Astyanax mexicanus: one gene and its partner. The protein of the gene in region 1 interacts with the protein of each later gene in a pairwise test. Links are inferred from orthologs where the notes say so. Each region holds a gene or a part of one and is shown in the gene's direction. Other genes may lie near its edges.

Evidence for each region.
Region 2: the proteins of sh3gl3a (region 1) and rpl35a interact in a two-hybrid assay, tested with the Homo sapiens proteins (2 studies listed by BioGRID and IntAct). The link is inferred for Astyanax mexicanus from reciprocal best matches to the Homo sapiens genes SH3GL3 and RPL35A.

Annotation. Positions count from the first base shown.
Region 1 is NC_064423.1:11,392,298-11,402,674, forward strand, and holds the start of sh3gl3a (endophilin-A3a), read left to right. Parts: upstream 1-6,477; 5' UTR 6,478-6,660; coding exon 6,661-6,705; intron 6,706-10,377. UniProt on the Homo sapiens protein: Implicated in endocytosis. May recruit other proteins to membranes with high curvature.
Region 2 is NC_064416.1:4,691,948-4,701,928, forward strand, and holds the start of rpl35a (60S ribosomal protein L35a), read left to right. Parts: upstream 1-6,099; 5' UTR 6,100-6,180; intron 6,181-6,800; 5' UTR 6,801-6,831; coding exon 6,832-6,842; intron 6,843-8,239; coding exon 8,240-8,392; intron 8,393-9,981. Other genes in the region: cstf3 (cleavage stimulation factor subunit 3), read right to left, coding at 4,908-4,934.

The DNA of each region.
Region 1 (10,377 bases):
TCATAAACTGTAATTAAGAGCGCGGATCTGATTTAAAATCCACATTTTTTGTAAGTAACGTTACAACAATAAAACAGAGCTTTTAACTAAATTCACAAATAAGCTGGAAAGAACGAAATCTGTTTTAATGATGTTAATAAACAGTACAGCACGAAAAAAGCCTATACTCACAGTTTCACTGCAGGGAGGGACGAGGACGTGAATCACTTATCTAACCTGCCTGTACTGATTTCTGCCCCCAATAACCCTTTTAATAACCTCCAAATAGCCTTTAATAGTCTTCAGTAGCCTTTAACAGTCTAACCACTAAACCACGTAACTTAGTTATATATAACTTAGTTATATAGCAGCGCGCCAACTGACCTGTTTGTAGTGTAATCCGAGCAGTGACTCCGTGACGGCTGCTCCATAATGCTGTTAGTTGGTTGGGCTGAAAGATGAACTGTAGAGAGCTGTATTATCCAGTTAGTGGGGTTAAAACCTTTATTTTCTTTTCACTAGGTGGCGGCATGATCCTACAGAGATAAACTTAAGAAAACTAAAAACGCTCCAGACTGGCTGAGCTCTGTAGCCTGTGGCTGGGCTGTAGCTCTGTAACTGAGTGAAGAGAGCGGGGCTTGTGCTGCTGCTGCAGCTCCGACTAGTGGTTGGATGAGGAACTGCAGCTTCTTGTAAGCGAGCAGTTTCACCGGCCATCCACACACAGCTTTGATTACAGTTTTTCCCAAATGTTTAAACGCGTTTCTAGATTGGCTTAGTTTCTCAAAGCACAAACACAAACTGAAAATTATTAACTGCTATTAACTCCAAAACTCCAACACACACAGCTATTTATAGTCAAGTCAAGTCAAGTAGTTTTATTGTCAATGCTGCATATGTACAGGACATACATAGAATTGAAATTACGTTACTCTCCTTCCCAATTTTACAGCAAGTACAGATAATGGATAATAAAGAAAAATAAAGAAAAAGGGGAGACACTATGTGTACAATACAGCAGCAGGGACACAGACATACATGAGACAGAACAAGGTGCAGTAGTGGTGGGGGTGAAATAGATATATAAATAGAAATAAAAAGAAATAAATATATAATCTAAATCTAAATGAGTGGGAGACACTATATGTACAATACAACAAAAACACAATAGACATTTGTGAGACAGAAGATAATAGTGCAATATTAATGGTGATTAAGATCAAGTGACAATATAAATAGAACCCGTATAACAGTAGTGCAATGTTGTATCTAGCTTAAGGCTGGTAAAGTTCTTAAAGTTCCCAGTTCTTGGGGAATTAAAGTGTGTATGACAGTGCAGCGTAACAGTAGTGCAGGTATTGGGTGTGTAGTGCAGGTCCTTTTACAAAAGTTACAGTACTGTGTGTGTTCTAGTGCAGAGTTCAGTACTGTGTTGGTGGGAGGATGTGGGGTCAGGATGATGAGAGTGTGTGTGCTGTGGGCAGGATTGGGATGGGGGGTAGAGCAGGAAGAGAGTTCAGCATCCTCACAGCCTGATGGATGGGGCTGTCTCGCAGTCTGCTGGTCCTAGACCCGAGACTCCGCAGTCTTCTCCCTGATGGCAGCAGGCTGAAGAAGCTGTGTAGTGGGTGGGAGGGATCTCCTGCCAGACAGAGGGCTTTCCGCGTGAGGCGGGAGCTGTACAGGTCCTGAAGGAAGGGGAGAGAGGTGCCAACGATCTTCTCAGCTGCTCTCACGATGCGCTGGAGGGTCCTGCGGCAGGATGCTGTGCAGGCCCCGTACCACACGGTGAAACAGCTGGTCAGGATGCTCTCGATGGCCCCTCTGTAGAAAGTGGTCATGATGGGGGTGGGGGCTCCAGCTCTTCTCAGCTTGCGGAGAAAGTAGAGACGCTGGTTTGCCTTCCTGGCCAGTGATGCTGAGTTGGTGCTCCAGGAGAGGTCCTCTGTGACGTGCACACCCAGGAACTTGGTGCTGCTCACCCTCTCCACAGCAGTTCCGTTGATGGACAGAGGAGTGTGCAGTGTGTGAGTTCTCCTGAAGTCCACAACAATCTCCTTAGTCTTCTCTGTATTCAGAGAGAGATTGTTGTGTTTGCACCAGGAGGCCAGGCGGCTCACCTCGCTCCTGTAGTGTGACTCATCGTTGTTGCTGATGAGACCCACCACCGTCGTGTCATCCGCAAACTTGACGAAGAGGTTGGAGGTGTGTTCTGGTGTGCAGTCGTGGGTCAGCAGAGTGAACAGGAGTGGGCTCAGTACACATCCTTGGGGAGCCCCTGTGTTCAGTGTGGTGATGCTGGATGTGTTGCTGCCAACCCGCACTGCCTGTGGTCTACCAGTCAGGAAGTCCAACAGCCAGTTGCACAGGGAAGTGCTCAGCCCCAGACTGTCCAGTTTGTGTATGAGCTGTTGGGGGATGATTGTGTTGAATGCTAAACTGAAGTCAACAAACAGCATTCTGACGTAGGTGTCTTTCTTGTCCAGGTGTGTGAGGGCTGAGTGGAGAACAGTGGAGATGGCATCATCGGTCGAGCGATTTGACCGATATGCAAACTGGTAGGGGTCCAGGGAGGAGGGGAGTGAAGACTTGATATGGTGCATGACTAGTCGTTCGAAGCACTTCATGAGGATGGGGGTGAGTGCAACCGGACGATAGTCGTTGAGACAGGATGGCGATGCCTTCTTAGGGACAGGGATGATGGTGGTGGCTTTGAAGCATGTGGGAACCACAGCCTGAATCAGAGAGGTGTTGTAGATGTCCGTATAAACCTCTGCGAGTTCCCAGGCACAGTCCTTCAGCACACGACCAGGAATGTTGTCAGGTCCAGGAGATTTTCGAGCATTGATCCTGCTGAATGCTCTCCTCACACTGTCTTGGGAGAGCGTTAGCACCTGGTCACCAGGAGGAGGGATGGATTTCTGGGCGGGTGTGTTGTTGAGTGGCTCGAACCTTGCGAAGAATCCATTCAGGTCGTTCAGCAGAGATGTGTCGCTGTTGCAGGTCTGTGGATGGGGTTTGTAGCCTGTGATAGACTGAATCCCTTGCCACAGGTTCCGTGTGTCTCTGCTGTCGCTGAAGCGTTGGGATATCTTCTTGGAGTACTGCCTCTTAGCTTTCCTGATGCCGCGGGACAGGTTGGCCCTGGCTGTCCTCAGGCCTGCCTGGTCTCCAGCTTGTGGACCTCTCCTGTCAGCCATGGCTTCTGATTAGCCCGAACAGTGATGGTCTTGAGGTCGGTTACATCATCAATGCACTTGGTGATGTAGGCAGAGACAGTTTCTGTGTACTCCTGAATGTCCGTGGAGTTGTTGTGGGTGGCAGCCTCTCTAAACATGTTCCAGTCTGTTGTGCTGAAACAGTCCTGAAGTGCCTCTGAGGAACCCTCTGGCCACACTCGTACCTGCTTCAGAACTGGTTTGGAGACTTTAACCAGTGGTCTGTAAGCTGGCACTGCTTATCTCTTGCAGAGCATCAAATAAACACTGACAAAATAAATATTATCAGACGTATTTGGTTGTGTTTTTGGCTTCATGAGGCCACTGTACAAATTCAAATGCATATATCCATGGAAACATGTTGGCTTTTTGTTCTTTACATTTATTTGGTGTGGTGTAAGACCCCCCATGTAGCATTTTTAGTACTACATGTATAGTTTTTCCCAAATGTTTAAACACATTTCTAGAAACTTGGCTCAGTTTCTCAAAACACAAACTGAAAATGATTAACTACTTTGTTGAAACTCCACAAATCTCTAGCAAAACTTATTCCTTCCACCAAAACAACACACACAGCTATTTATATGCTTATCTCTTGCAGAGCATCAAATAAACACTGACAAGATAAATACAGAGCACTATTATCAGACGTATTTGGTTGTGTTTTTGTCTTCATGAGGCCACTGTACAAATTCAAATGCATACACGGAAAACAATCACAGAATAATAACGCTTTGTAAAGTGGGCGAAACCAGGCAATACGCGGAACAGGTGTGTGCGCAATGTCCTTAAATCAGTACTCCGGACTTCCTGGAGGAAGCCGTGAGGTGTCACGTGAGTGTGTGTGTGTGATGTCAGCGGGTGGTGCGTTCTGGGTAGTGTAGTTGTTGGACTGCAAACCTTCGTTAAAGCTCGGTGTGGAAGAAACAGAAGCTTCTACAGCACCAGACGTGACAAATTGTGTAATCCCATATTATAATAACATAAGTTGTTACAATTGCATAATTCCATATTATAACAACTTGACCTCTTACGAAGGTGTAATTCCCCGTGAAAATGGCACAATTTATTACAATTGCTTAATTCCATATTATATAGTATTTTGTTTTACTGTTGCGTAATTCCATATTTTAATTTGTGACTTGTTACAAATGCATAATTCCACATCAAATTTCCACAACTTGTTATAGCTGCTTAATTCCATATTATAAGTATATAATTTGAAACAATTGCAAAATTCCATATATAACTACTTGACTTTTTACAGTTGCATAATTCCATATTATAATTCCTGACTTGATACAATCGTGTAATTTCATATTATAATTACTTTACTTGTTACAATTGAATAATTCCATGTCAAAATTCCACAACTTGTTATAGCTGTTTAATTCCATGTTATAATTACATAACTTGTTACAATTACAAAATTATTATTATTATCATTATTATTATCATTTATTTAATTGTTGTTAATTACATTCTAAAATATACTTTGAGTTTTATTAATAAAAACATAATTTTCTAGACGAGTGGTATTTTGTCAAAATATGACCTTACTGCCAGCAGACAATGAGACTAAATAATGAAGCTTTGACAACGTTGTGATAACCTTTTGCAGACAATGTAAACGCTGTTTGCTGGAAGATACTCATCATAATCCTCTGTAAAGTCACGTTTGGGACACTGGGGGGCAGCAAAGACCCAAATTACAACCCCAAACTTTACAGAAACCCTCTGTTCCCACACCGGCATCTTCATCACACTGACTCTGCTCTTCATCACACATCCAGCTCATCTCTACTGTCCTTCTGGAAACATTATGAGAACATTATGTCCTTTAGTCTCAGTACAGCCAGGGTTTAGTCTAAAGGCTTGTTTTATAAAGGGGTTCCTCGGTTGACGTCTACAGGTTTCCACTCATCCACGCGATTTTTTTCAGCAACAGCAGTAGTGCTCGCTTCCCACCCGTTTCCGGTAAGCCACGCCTCCCACGCTGTGATTGGATAGAAGAGGGAGTTGAAGTTTAAACCATCCTCTAATAAATGTACTGTAGAGGTAATAAATGTTCCAGGGCAAATAAACTACGATTACCCAGAAACTTCTAGAACTGCGTTTTTAAAGATCCAATATCTGATATTTTTAACATTTCTAATTTTTACTTACACAATGTCTGTTTATACATAATAAACAGTCGTGATTCATTTTTTTCTCTGAATAACTTTTCCTGTGCAACAGGAATACAGATTAGAATATTACTCAATTAGGGCTTTTCACGTTATACAACCTGTATAAAAAAAAAAAAAAAATAATAAAATCTCCTTGAATCCTGTACCTCTTCACAACTTTACAACTGATGCTCTCAAACACATTAAGATGACAAAACATTAGAGTAATTACTGTTTGACAAGCTCAGCACAGCTGTTAACTGAAAGCTATTCCAAGCTGCCATCTAAACAAGAGGTGCCATTTGGAAGAATCTAAAATATAAAACATATTCTGGTTTGTTTAACACATTTTTGATTAATAAATATTAGATTTTTATTTTGTACTTTGGATGACTTTATTGACTGTATTACTCTACAATGCAGAAAATGTTTTATTTATTTATTTATTTATTTATTATTTAAATATTATTATTTATATATATTTTTTTTATTATTATTGTTAATTTTGTTTTGACAATCATAAAATTGGAAAACAAATGAAATCTATCTATCTATATAAGGAATATATTATTCAGCCTTAAGCTTTTATACCTCTATGTTTGCACTAATGTTTATATGAGTCCTGTTCATACTGGTACTGTCATTCCCTCTTTAATCACCCCCATCACTATTGCTCTATTGTCTTGTGTCTCTTGTCTTGTCTCACGTATGTTTGTATCTGTGACCTTCTGTGACCTTGTTATACTGTACATTAAGTGTCTCTCATTATTTTATTTATATATTTTATCTTGCTGTACTTGTTGTAATAGCAAGGAAGGAGAGTAACGTAATTTCAGTTCTCTGTATGTCCGGTACATATGCAGTATTGATAATAAAACTACTTGACCTGACTTAAAATTCATCCTGATTTGAGGTTCAGGTAACACTGATGCTACAACGTTAGCTTTCAGGCTGTGGTTGCCACGGCAACGCGCGAGACCTCTCTCACTGTCCAATAGGCGGCCGACTTGTAAATTTGAACCGCTCACCATTCAGAGGCGAGAGGCGGGACGTTCCTGGCCAATCGCAACGCAGGGGGCGAGGATAGAGGAAAACGGGTGGATTAGTGAAGAAATAACAGTATAGAGCCACCGAGACATGCAGCCAGCAGCAACAGCAGCGGCGGAGCGTTCAGCACTCATTCAGAGAGGAGCCCGGCTGCTGTGATTCCTGGGCAACCTGCGAAGGATTATTTTACATTTCTGAGCTGTTGAAACTTTTTTCGGACTCTCCGCTGCTCAGTTCTGCTTTTCAGGATGTCTGTAGCGGGCTTGAAGAAGCAGTTTCATAAAGCCAGTCAGGTAAGGAGACGCCCCTAGTTCCGTTCTGTTGTTTTCAGAACAACTTCATGATCTTTAGCTTTTGTTTTCAAACATTTAGCAGTTTATTTTACCCCCCATTCAGTAAAACACTCCGCCTCAGCTGCTGTGTGTAGATGGTAGAGTAGCTCAATGGTGTGCTGCTCCAGTTGTTTTCTTCAGGCTGAAGCAGCAGCAGAGATGCGCCATGCAGTTGTTGTTTTCTTCTAAAACCTACTTTACAATGTTTTTTTTATTACATAATAAAAATAAAATACGTTCACAAAACGAAGAGTTCCTCTGTTTCTACTCTTATTTCTCTTCTAACGCCACGTTCATGTGTTTTTTCTTGGCTCTGCTCTCACTCTTTTGTTGATTATTAGCTGTGTTAGCTAGCTCCAAGCTACACAATGAGAAGATAGGACTATTTAACGTTACATCTTCAGCATTATGGCTAGTGTTAGCTTTGTTCATGTTATGTTGGATGTTGTTCACCTTGTCTAGCCCTGAGCTTCAACAGGAGAGCAGTTTTGGGGGGATGAGTATAGAATAAGCTGATTGTCAGTGCATAACTGAAGCTGAACACCATTAAATCCATCATCATGACCACAATCAAGCCACCTACACACACAGGCCTGAAGAGATGAGAACAGAGGGAGCATAGCTAACCTAGCTGCTCCTCACCACTTCTTTACAGCTTTCAGATTCTCTAAAATGATTAAAACACTGATAAAACAGTTATTTTGTGCTGCAGAATTGCCACTATTAATACTATATTCATGATCTAAATTCAGTTATGGAGTAAAAGATATGGCTGTATTTTCTAAACAGGTGGTTTTCCATCCTCAAGGTTTTTGTGAATTTTGAAAATAACAACAGAAAACACGTAAATATCTTTAAAATGTATTTTTTTTTTCAGAATTTCACTCACACCAAATTGCGAAAAGTAGCAGGAACATCTTGTTCATGTACTCTTTGTAGCTCTGCTCTCACTCTTTTGTTGATTATTAGCTGTGTTAGCTAGCTCCAAGCTTCACAGTGAGAAGATGGGACTGTTTACATCTTCAGCATTATAGTGTTAGCTTTCTTCATACCTTGTTGGATGTTGTTTTCGGTGCATTAATGAAGCTGAACACCATCAAGTCCATCATCATGACTAGCATCATACCACCTACACACACACAGGCCTGATGAGAACAGAGGAAGCATACCTAACCTCATTATTTCTTTACAGCTTTCAGATTCTCAAAAAATATATAAAATACTATGAGATATACAACGGTTAAAGTGGACAATGTGCTGTAGAATTATCACAATAAACATGATGCTTCTTTTTATGATGCTTCTGATCAGGTCCTGTTATATATTAAGCACAACATATGGCTTTCACTTTTCTTATGGAGAAGCTTGTCCATTTTTCTTTCTACTGAAAAGCAGAGCTATCATACTGGACTATTTTAATATTCTTAAGTCCTACTTGGACGGGATTAGTTTTTCAGGGGGTCTTGGGGTAATTTTATAGGGGGTCCTCTGTGATTTTATTCCCGTCCGAAACGACCATGTATGTGTTTTTCTCAGATGTCCTTATAGAATATTACAGGATGCATTGCCTACTGTTTTTCACCAAACCCCATCCAGACAGACTAAGTTTTGAGTTTTGTCTCCTCACGTTTAACAAAATAGCTTTTTGTCCACTGCCACGCACATTTCTACAGAAATCCACACAAACACAACAGCAACTGGAAATGGAGGAGCTACTGATCACGATGTGATGTGACCGAGAAAGCCAAAAAACTCACTGGTCCTCTTATTTTTTCAATATTAGTTCGGATGCAACAGTTTTATCACTTGAGTAGAAGTGTGGGAAAAAAAAATCACAGACATCCCTATTTGAAACTAATCCCATCCAGATAGGGCTTTAAACAGACTGAAAGTCTGTTATAATATCTTCAAGCTGCATTCAACATGGATTAATGTGTAATTAACTAGTTGATAACATGTAAAGACAGATCACAATACATGATAGATACGTAGATTCAGGGCTCTAACAACAGCAGACCTGACACAAACAGCATGTTTTCCACCCACAAAGTTTTTTTAATATTGAAAATGTGCAAAAATAAAAGTGGAAGAAAAAAGGCTGAAAAACACTCAAATATATATAAATGATTACACTAGAATGAGGATGAAAATCAGAATATTACTCAAGCAAAATTGCAAAATATAAACACCTTGTTTATATGCTCTTTGTGGTTCTGCTCTTACTTTTTTGGTGATTTAGCAGTTACCTAGCTCCAAGCAACACAATGAGAAGATGAAATTAGTATAATGGTACCACCTTTGTTCATGTTGTTGGATGTTCATCTTTTCTGGCTTTGGACATAAACAGGAGAGCAGTTTTTAGGATATATGTGGAGTTAACTGGTTTCTCTGTACAAATTAAATTAATTATCGTTATACTACCTACTTACAGGCCTGTAGAAATGAGAACAGAGGGTGCCTAGCCAAACTAGGTGCTCCTCATGACATCTTTGGCTGTCAAAACTCATAAAAAATAAATAAATAAAAAAACCTGTGGGGTCATTGTAGTGTTGGTAACTAACACCACAATACATTCTATAAATATGTGTTTTTAAAGAACCGGTGGCTCAGAGTAAACAGAAAGGTTTAACAAGCATGCAGGGTCTAGGATCCATCTGGATCCATCTGGTCATCTTGTTGTAGGAAGGAAATGATGGCTTGCAGGTGGCCTAAGAGCCGAGCAGGAGCAGGTGTGGTGGATGTCATTTGGCAGGATCTGTCTTCTCCTGTGGAGGTGATGGTAGGGGCTGTTGGTGTAGGACAGTGTGGCAAAACATGGCATCAGTGTGTCAGACTAGGGTTTGTTTCCCTAGCCAGGTAAGACAGGTATCAGGTAGGGCATCGTCCCACACAGCTTGTTTTATTACGGTAAACACGCAGACTACAGTCTGATATACTCAGCTCTGGACAGCGAAAGAGCTAAGGCTGCGGTTAGCGCTATTGCTAATGCTGCTGCACCCAGCCTTAGTGCTGGAGAAACTTCACTGAAAACGAACCCACGCTTATAACGCTGTTCTTCAGAGGAGTGGCTTTACTGTTCTTTAATACCTGACTGGTAGAATTCATACATAAGGCACACTGGATTATACAACACACTGTCAAGTTTTGGGAAAACCAAAGAATTTTAAGTGCACCTTATAGTGCAAAAATTTTATGAAAATGTTAAGTGCATCTCTGAAAAATAAACAGGGGCCTTTCCCTGCCCAGTTTGGTTAAACACAACATAATCTCCAGTGCTACACTGACAACAGTAGGTTTAGGGTTGGCATATGGGGATTAAGTGTGGACAGTGATTATGGGCTGCAGAATGACCACTATAAAACAGTATTACCATTATCCCGACTTAATTATAAAGTACCACATATGGTTCTATTTTCTACACTGGACGTCTTTACTGTTCTTTTGGAAGAGTGGGTTTATTTTTCTCTACTGGACAACAGAGGTAACATACTGAACTCCGCATTTTTTTCAAACAGACTGAATTAGTGATTTATACCTTGACAACAAATGTCACCAGTTAGAAATCCAAAGACAATATATGGAACTAAACAATAAAATGGAGCTTTAACCATAAGTGCAATTTGTAACTTAAAT
Region 2 (9,981 bases), on another chromosome or scaffold:
TGTGCCATATCGTGACATATGCAATAATATCGCCAACATCTTTGAATATTGCGAATGATCACGCCATATCACCCACCCCTAATGATCACAAAATAAAATAAAAATAAAAATTCACGTTGTTTTCATTCCCATTATACAGGTGCTGGTCAACGAATTAGAATAATTTGAAATAGTGCAATCATGAAATTCTTTGAATGCATTTTTTGTGCAGAAAGCAAATCAGGTGTTTACCGCACCTGTCCTACTCGTTAGACTAATCACAGAACTCGTTACCTGGAAAAAAAATTTGCTCAGCTGAGCTTTCCAAAAGGCCCGTTTAGGCCATTTAACTGTGACACTGTTGTTTTATTGAATTAGAATAATGGAGAAACAGTTTCATTGAATTAGAATAAATGCTCGAATTTTTGTTTTCTGTGAAGAGTGTTCACTGTGCAGTATAAAGTCAGGGTTGAGTAGAATTTCTAAGTTGTAAAAATCAATCATGGGTAAGCAGCGCGACCTCTCAACCGGAATAGTGGCTCAAATTCAAGCCCTTCGCCAACAAGGCTTGACCCAAACTAAAATTGCTGAGCAGCTCGGCATCAGCCAGTCTTCCGTCTGCAAAGCTCTCAAGAAAAACTGCAGCAAGCGCACCAACTGTTCCGGCGTCCGAAAAACTTCTGCTCGCGACAACAAGCAGCTGAGAAAGATCGCAGTCAGCAACCGGTTCAAGTCCACTTCCGAGCTCACCGACTTGTGGAACAAGCAGACCGGCGCTGACGTCTCCAGATCAACCACTTACCGTGGTCTGCGCGAACTCGGCTTCAAATCTCGCGTTCCAGCAGTAAAACCGATGCTGAACATGGACTGCTGAAGACTGGCAGAAAGTGGTCTTCAGTGACGAATCACGCTTCTGCATCTCCTTCGGTGACCAAGGTCCTCGTGTCTGGCGTCGTGGTGGCGAAACCTACAACCACGAGTGCGTGAAAAGATCCGTCAAGTTTCCCCAGAGCGTTATGGTCTGGGGATGCATGTCCGCTCGAGGTGTAGGGAAACTCTGCTTCCTCAAGAAGACTGTCAATGCTGCCGTATATCAAGATGTTCTGGAAACGTTCCTGATTCCGACTGTTGAGGAACAGTTCGGCGAAGAAGACTTAATATTTCAACAGGATCTTGCACCGGCTCATGCGGCAAAGTCGACCAAAGATTGGTTCACTAAAAAACAGCTTGAAGTTTTGGCATGGCCGGCCAACTCGCCTGACCTCAATGTCATTGAAAACCTTTGGGCCATCGTCAAGCGGAAAATTCGCGACAGAAAGCCTACTACGCTGGACCAACTGAAGCAGAACATCGCCACTGCCTGGGAAGCTGTGAGTGCGGAAACTTGCGACAAGCTGGTCAAATCGATGCCGCGGAGACTTCAGGCAGTCATACAAGCCAAGGGGGCAGCCACAAAATACTGAGAAAGTGATGATTGTAATTATAATAAAAATTATTCTAATTCAATGAAACGGTTTCTCCATTATTCTAATTCAATAAAACAACAGTGTCACAGTTAAATGGCCTAAACGGGCCTTTTGGAAAGCTCAGCTGAGCAAAATTTTTTCCAGGTAACGAGTTCTGTGATTAGTCTAACGAGTAGGACAGGTGCGGTGAACACCTGATTTCAAATTATTCTAATTCGTTGACCAGCACCTGTATATCTACTAGAGACAGATTATATCTGTCCAGTATCATTTATTTTACTTTAATCCTGGATTTATGGAAATATATGGAGTGCATTATTATTAGCATTATGACATTCTGGAACATTGACTTCTGCCAACAAATCTGATAAAATTCTTGTATTTTTTAATATCTCAGTTAGGGGTGAGCCATTTCATCTCTTATGCAATAATATAATGTAATTTTTATTTTGTTGCATTACTGTATTCTCGAAATATATATATTTTTAATTCAGTGTTTAAGCATATCGCTAAGAGTATCGTTATCGTAAAAATACCATAAAATATTGTGATATCATTTTTAATTTTCATATCGCTCAACCTTACTACAAGCACAAAGCTTAGACATAGGTCCAATATGTATGTATATACATATATAACATGTGTTTCCAACTCTAGTTTGTCTTGTTAGACATCATACTGTATGAAAACAGATCAAAAATCTCATAAAAGGCCTACAATCAATCTAAAAATGCCATAAACAACCATACTTATTACTCCTTTTGACCTTCAGTCAATCAAGGCCTTTTATAGAAGGTCACACCACTCTATAATGGATCATTTTCCAAAGGTCAAAGTGAGACAAGGACTTGAACAAAGCAATGCAGGACTAAATAAGTTATCAAACAAGCTCGGTGATGGATGATACTGACAAAAAAAGATGCAATAAACACTGTTGGAAATCTCAATATTCATGTAGCTTGCCTCTGAAACTGGGCCTTAAAACTAAATAGCTCTTATCTTAACATTGTTAAGAGAAATGGTGATATACACAATATGGTGAAAAACTTAAAGTATAAGGTTACAAAGTGTTAAAAGTACTTGTAAGACTGGATATTTAAAAATGTATTAATATTAAACAATGCTGCTCCTTTAGTTTTGATGTTTCTATGACACAATTAGCACAATATTGTACTGTATTGAGTGTCACCACTTCAGAAACCAAACCATTTTAACACAATATTATATTGCACACATCGAAAACAATATCATTTTGTATGAATCTTGTACCAGACAGTTTCAAGCACACTGATCTTTAAGATATATTTAGCTCTGGAAAAAAATAATAGAGCACTTAAAAATGACGAGTTTCTTTGATTTTACCAAATTGAAAACCTCTGGAATATAATCAAGAGGAAGATGAATGATCACAGGCCATCAAACCACCAAACTGAACCAATTTTCTCCAAATAAATGCTCCAAATTAAAATATTTTTATTTGGAGTTTGGGAGAAAAGTCAGTAGTTTATAGAATAAAACAAGAATGCTATATGATCATTTTTTATCATTTTACTTTATAAATAGCAAAATCAGAGGAACTGATACAGAAACTGAAGTGGTCGCTTAACTGTTTCCAGAGCTGTATATTGCCCAGTCATACCTTCATTTAAATTGTTTAGGTAGGTAATGCAATTAGATTTTCAAAGATTCTTTGATAGACAATATAAAGATATAGCAATAACTGTGATAACATTTATCTCTAAAATGGGGTTAAAGGCAGATCAAAGTCCAATTAAAACAAACAAACAAAACACACATTAATCTAGAAATGTCTTATAATAGCTGATACACTAGATCAAAACACATTAGCATCATTAAGTTCCACTGTAAAAAAAAAAAAAAACAAACAAACAGCACAATACACAGAAGAGGAGATAGCTAGCTAGATAAGAAGTGCACTATAAACTGAATAAGAGGCCAAAGCAAATCTACAAATCAACCCAAAAGCTAAAAACTGACTGAGTTTAGGCACAATTTGCAATAAAATGCATCTTGCTGCAGATTTTTTTTAACCTTGGTCCTAAAGGTGACAAGGAGCTAAGCTTTACCTTATTCAAACACAAATGATGCAATTAAGTTAGCTAAAGAAGGTGTGTTAAAGCAGGGAAAGCAATAAAATGTGCAGGGCAGCCTATGAGCCTTCAGGACCACTTTTCAGTAACACTGATTTAAGGCATTTAACTTAACATGTGTTTGTGGCCTGCACCGGATCAAAGAATTTTAAGTGTGCCTTAAAGTCAGAAAAATATGGAAAATGTATTTAAATATAGCTAGGCCTCTAACGATAATTACATTATCGACTTATCGTAAAATAATGGACACAACCTGATATTTGATAATTGTGATATCATCTATTGCGTTTATTTGTACGTTTTCTATTGTATAGAACAGTGAACAATATTTTAGCCAGTCATGCAATACCAGACCAATGCTTCAATAACTTTGACTCCATACACAGTATAAACTGAAGTAATTTAATAAAATAAAAATAAGTATAATACTATGATTAATTGCAAATTTTGTTTTGCTATCTTTAACATGCTGTCAGTGGCATTAAAATGACCTTAAAATGACAGTAATACTGTTTATTGCAATAGTTTTTGAGACAATGTCAAGCAGAAAATACAGCACATTTATCAATACAGAAATATATACACACTGCCTGGCAAAAAAAAAAACTTGACTTAACTGAGCAAATAGGTAAAAGACTCTCATTGGATTATTATTACTGCATTATAATAACTGGATTATAATTACTATAATTACGGCAACAAGTTACTGGATTTAATCCTAACTGATGCAGGGAGTAGCTTCTCATTTGTTAAAACAACCACGTGGAAAAGATAATAAAGTTAATATGTTTCAGAAGGGTCAATTTATTGGCACCAATAATGCAGAAAAAACATCTAAGGAAATTGTAGCTGAAAATACTGATTGGCCGCCACCTGAACGCCATTAAGACTCTTTGGCCAGGCAGTGCAAAACCATATATAAGTACTAAGTACATAGCATTTGAAGTTAGAAAATAAACCACAGAATAAACAGAAGCTAAATGGTCAAAACATCGCCTAATCGCATCACAGCAGTCCAAAAACAGCGTGTCTTTCGCTACAAACTCAGCTAGCTAACAAACAAACTATTTAACTGAATATCTACCTAGACCAATCAAAGAACACGTACATTATGCAGTTAAATGAATTTTTTATAAGTCCTACACGGGATTTAATGCCTAAAAAATGTTAAAAATGACCTCAAACAGAGACAAAAACAAGCAAGTCAATTCCAGCAGCTAGCCTAGCTAAACTAGCCATAGCTCGTATGCTAAGCTAAGCTAACTAACGGTCGCCCCAGCAACGGCACAGCTTCTTTAACCCGCAATTTAAGCCGTTCTGCAGCTTTATAACAGATTTACAGAATATTTACCTGGTCCGGGGCGCTTTCTGCGGACATTATTAACCTGCAGCGTTTATTATTTGTAAGATTTCCAGCCTGCAGATCCTCACAGGCTCCTAAAATGGCGAGCTCCCTCACCCCCGCTCTCACCGGACGCATGCGCAGACACATACAGAGAAACAGAGGGAAGAGGCGGGGTTTTGTTTGCCAGTTTTTGTATACCTTATTAAATTTTAATTTATCTCAAATTTAGTTTGTAACTCAAAAATAGTCATTTTTATATGGTCTCAGCAAGATATCTAAGCTCACAGAAAAAAATCTTTATTAAAAAAAATATTATATTCTGGTTAAACCGCAGGACTTTTAATTTCGCAGATCTACAAGTCATTCCCACTAAAACAATGGGTGAAGACATGATTTTTAAATCGATTAAAAGAGGTTAAATATTAACAATTCTACATGACTCTAGTGTATGGAAGCATAGATATCAAATACGTATATATATATAAGATATCTATGAATAGAATTCCCATTCCTGCCACCTAAAATATAAAATAAATCCAGCACATTTGTTTTATTATTATTAAGTAACTGCTGTCTCAGTATTTTGACATAGTAAGTCATAATTTTAAATGAACGAGTTAATGAATAAATGAAAGAATGCATTTTATTATGACTATAGCAAGTACAGTGAAATTAGAGGAGCTCATCTCACAGTGCAACATATACAATATAAAAATAAATAAATATGTACTTGCAGTGTAATAAAAAAACAGTTCTCGAATCTGTCTGTGTCCTTGAATAAGTTAAGGAACTTATTCATTATTTTTAGATAGATAGATATTATCTCATTATGTTCAGATCTTATTATCTCAAAATAATGACTTACTATCCCTGAAAATGACAAATAAAGAACTATAAAATACACTTAATATTCACGTTTAAATAATTAATTAAATAATGTCTCGATTATTTATTTATCAATTTATTCATATAATTAACTCATTTTAATTTAAACTATGTATTTCTCACTTAAATGAATTTTTATGTTTTCTTTTATTTATTTATATTATATTTTCACTAAAAAATAGAGTAAACATCTTATAGATAGTATAGTTTTTTTTTTAAAGATTATTAAAGTATTAAAGAATACTGTTTTTTTTTTTTTTATAATAAACTAATTTTCATGGATTGAGTTTATTATTTTTGATCAGGCGGTTGTTTGGGGCGCCGCTGGGTGATTTTGCTGCCGGCGCGCCGCTGGACCGTCCTTTTCCTCCATCTTTGTTATCGTATCAGGCAGGTAAATCCCGGCACGGGTTCATAATTTATCAATTTCTTACTGTTTTTAGAGGGAATTAAGCTCTAATATTAATCTCAGCGCGTAGATAAGCGCTTTATCTTTATCCAGCGCTTGGGTTTATCGTGTTTCATGGCGGGATGGTGCAGATTTGGAGCGGATTGTTGGGCAGAGCTGCTGAGGGAGCGGGCGGGTTTCCTCCGTTACTGACAGAGTTTCAGTGATTCAGTTTAATATTAAACGGGTTTAAACGCTGAATTACTGATGTAACTCTGCTGTTTCTGTGTTTTAGCGCTGTAGAATATATTATGCTGGGGTTATATGCTGCTGTTTTGCTGCTAATGGCTATAGAAGTGGAGTTATTCTTGGTTATAACGTGTCTGAACTCTGTATTCTAGTTTAACTTCACATGCATACTGAATAAACAGTAACTAGATCTTTAATTTTAGCTCCTAGATCTAATTAAATCTGCTCTGATGACCAAACTACAGTCTAATTTAAGTATAATTGTGTCAGCTGTTGGTCTGTGTGTTTATTGGCTGTTTTAAGAAGCTGTGAGACATTTTATTAAAGCTTTCTCCCTTTAAATCTTCTCATTTTATGTCTTTATTCTTGCTTCAAAGGTTTCAGAGCCTGGGCGAGAAATAAGTCACAATGCCTGGAAGGTGAGTAGCTTCTTAAACTGCATGTTGGAGGTTTTGGTGAAGGTAGTGTGTGTGTATAGACCTGTTCCTAGTTGCAGCTGCAGTTTGGTGAAATTGTGCACAGTGTAAGTGTATTTTTGAAGTTTAAGTCAAATAAAAAGTACGAAGATAAAAGTAACACGGTATCCTCAATGTCCAAAGAAAAACGTCTCTCCAAAATATTGTTTATAGAATGGAAGGCAAGTGTTCTTAACTTTCATTTAGTGTTTGATGATGTGGCCAACATTTTTCATGATTTCTTTATTTTTGTCGCTCACTTTGGTGTAATTAACCTCAAGTCCCAAACTCATGCTTGGTGTGAGTTTATAATTTGAAATTAGTAGGACCTAAACTCAACTTTGTCTTGGTACACATTAGCTATGTGCTCAAGTTTACTTAAATTAAGTTTTTGAAAGTATCCTTGACATTTGGGATCAGAAGGAACCGATTATTCCAAAAGCTAAATGTTGGCTTTCTACTGTAAGTTAATAAACTTGTTTCGAACGTAAAATTTTATTTTGCTGTCTGTAGAAACTTTTGACTGGGATTCTTGTCATAAATGATGATCTTGTGATGCACAGAGAAAAAAATACAGCATCAGGAGTCCTAAAAAGTCAGATTCTTAGTTAATCGGGGTAGTTTACACACTGTAACAAACTCTACAGTTGGAGGATCAGTTTGAAATTTTGGCCATATATGATCAGCTGCAGGGTTATACACTATATAAAACCCAAAAGTGAAGATGCATGTTTTTTATTGGACAGCAGTGCTTCATTATAATTCCGTTGGTTAAATATTGAATTATATAAATTTGCAATGTTTTTCATCTGCTGTGTACATTGTTGTATATTGTTGTGATTGGCTCTTGTTAACACTTGATTATTGGGCCTTTTGCTGCTGTTAAAAATTTTGTAATTAATTTATTTTACTTCATCTGGAGGTTTTTGTGAGCTCTAAATTTAGGTTTTGTTCTGTTGCTTTGTTTTTGGTAGTTTGCGTCAATGCTTTCTGAATAGCCACATTACATATGTTTTTTATTTGCATTCATAAAATTACAGATGTTGAAGTGAAGGCTATGTACTGATTTAAGTATTTGTTGTAAATCATTTGGAAAAGAAGGGAAGTGTAACTGAAGTTTATTATCTCAGTAAATCACCAGATATTGCTTCTTCTGATGTACTGTGTTGTACTGTTCAGTGTGTAACGAAAATTTATTTTGGGTTAATTTCAAATTTTTTTAATTTAAATTGTGTGAAGTTCTGTAGTAAATGAATGAAAATTTATATATATATATATATAATGTTTAAATGTATGAATGATTATAATAATTGTTGGTAAAGCTTGGGAATGCTCAGCCTGTGGCTGTTTTCTGTTTTTAGGTTGTGGTGCAAAGCTATCTTCGCTGGATACAAGCGCGGTCTGAGGAACCAGCGTGAGCACACTGCTCTGCTGAAGGTTGAGGGAGTCTACACTCGACAGGAGGTCGACTTCTACCTGGGCAAGCGCTGCGCCTATGTCTACAAGGCAAAGAAGTAAGCAGCTTGTCTTCAGCGCTATGCATTAATCTCAACACTCAACCCTGGCAGACTAAATTCTTTGAATATAAAAGCATCAGCTGCTGGAGCCCTGAGAGAGCACAATTGTCCTTGCTCTCTCTGGGTGGGTACAGTAGATGGTGCTCTTTCCCCTCATTACTTATAGGGTGATGTGGATCAGCACAAGGCTGCGTCTGTGAGCTGATGTATCAGAACCGAGTGTTAGCGCTGTGATGCTACTTAGCAATGCTGCATCAGCAACAGTTCAAAAAGAGGCGGCGGAGGAGGCTAATATTAAATTTACAATGTAAAAAAATCATAAAGTAACAACGCATTAAGTTAAGTTGGGGCCGAACATTAAATTTGGTACTGTATATAAGGGCTCTGTTATTGATGTGTTGGTCGTTGCGTGACTGACAGTATTGCTGGTGATGAGCAGAAATGATTGAGGTCACGTCCATATTATAAGTCAATAACGTAATTGTGAAAGGACTAGCAGCACACTGTCCCTGTATATACAGTATTTACGCTTCCAGGCTTTAACCACACACAGCTGCCTTAACTGCTGCAGAGTTTTCTCTCATTCTGCTCATTAAAATACGTATATGGTGATAATACAGCATCAGCAATGACAGATTATTAGAAATTACTATTCAGTGCTTGAATGCACAGTGTTTTTTATTCAGTTTTTGCTTCAAATCCAGTTCTAAAGGATGTATTACACAAAAATACAGTTGATATGCTCGGTAAAGCATGTCAAAAAAAAAGTATGACTGATAACATAGTGCCCAGTTCTATATAGGAGTAGGACAAAATGGTTATTGCGATATATTGTATGCTTTATTTGCTGTGCATTATTGATATGTGGCATTAAAAGTGTGTGTATTTTTATAGCAGTGCAATCAACATGCATTATAAAAACTTTATTTTCCCAATTTTCTCCCTTTGCATTGAATTTCTCATTTTATCTCATTTTAATGAATAGACTAATAACACAAACACAGCAAATCATTTAAAAGCATTTGTCAAAGGCCTCAATGTATCTTCACACCGTATCTACATACTTATTTAGCTTTGACTGTTTTTTTTTAGTTGGAAGAAATATTTCAAGAATGGTTCCCATATTGTATAAAATTTACTGGAATTACCTCTTAGTAAAAATCTGTGTTTGTTTTTTCACTACATAATTCCTGGTATTTAGTTATTTAGGAGTATTTTATCCTCTTCAGTAACAGAGATGCTGTAAAGCATCGTAGAGAATTGTTTTGATATATCGAGCATCACAGAATCAAAGTATTGTAAGATTATCGTGGGCAGTGCATCAGTATATTATATTGTGATATGCCCGGTGATTCCCACCGCTAGTTCTAAATAGCAAATTAGATTTTATCCAAGTTATTGCTGTAAAAATAGAGATATAAATATTATGAGCTAAGATAAATGATCAAAATAAATCTAATTTTAGGCAAATGTTAAGCCATTAGTTTTTTTTACTACGTATTGTGCTTGATTAAATTTATAAAGATCAAAAAGGTACAGTCTGAAGATTTAGCTTGTTTTACCCTATACCAAACACCTTTTTTTTG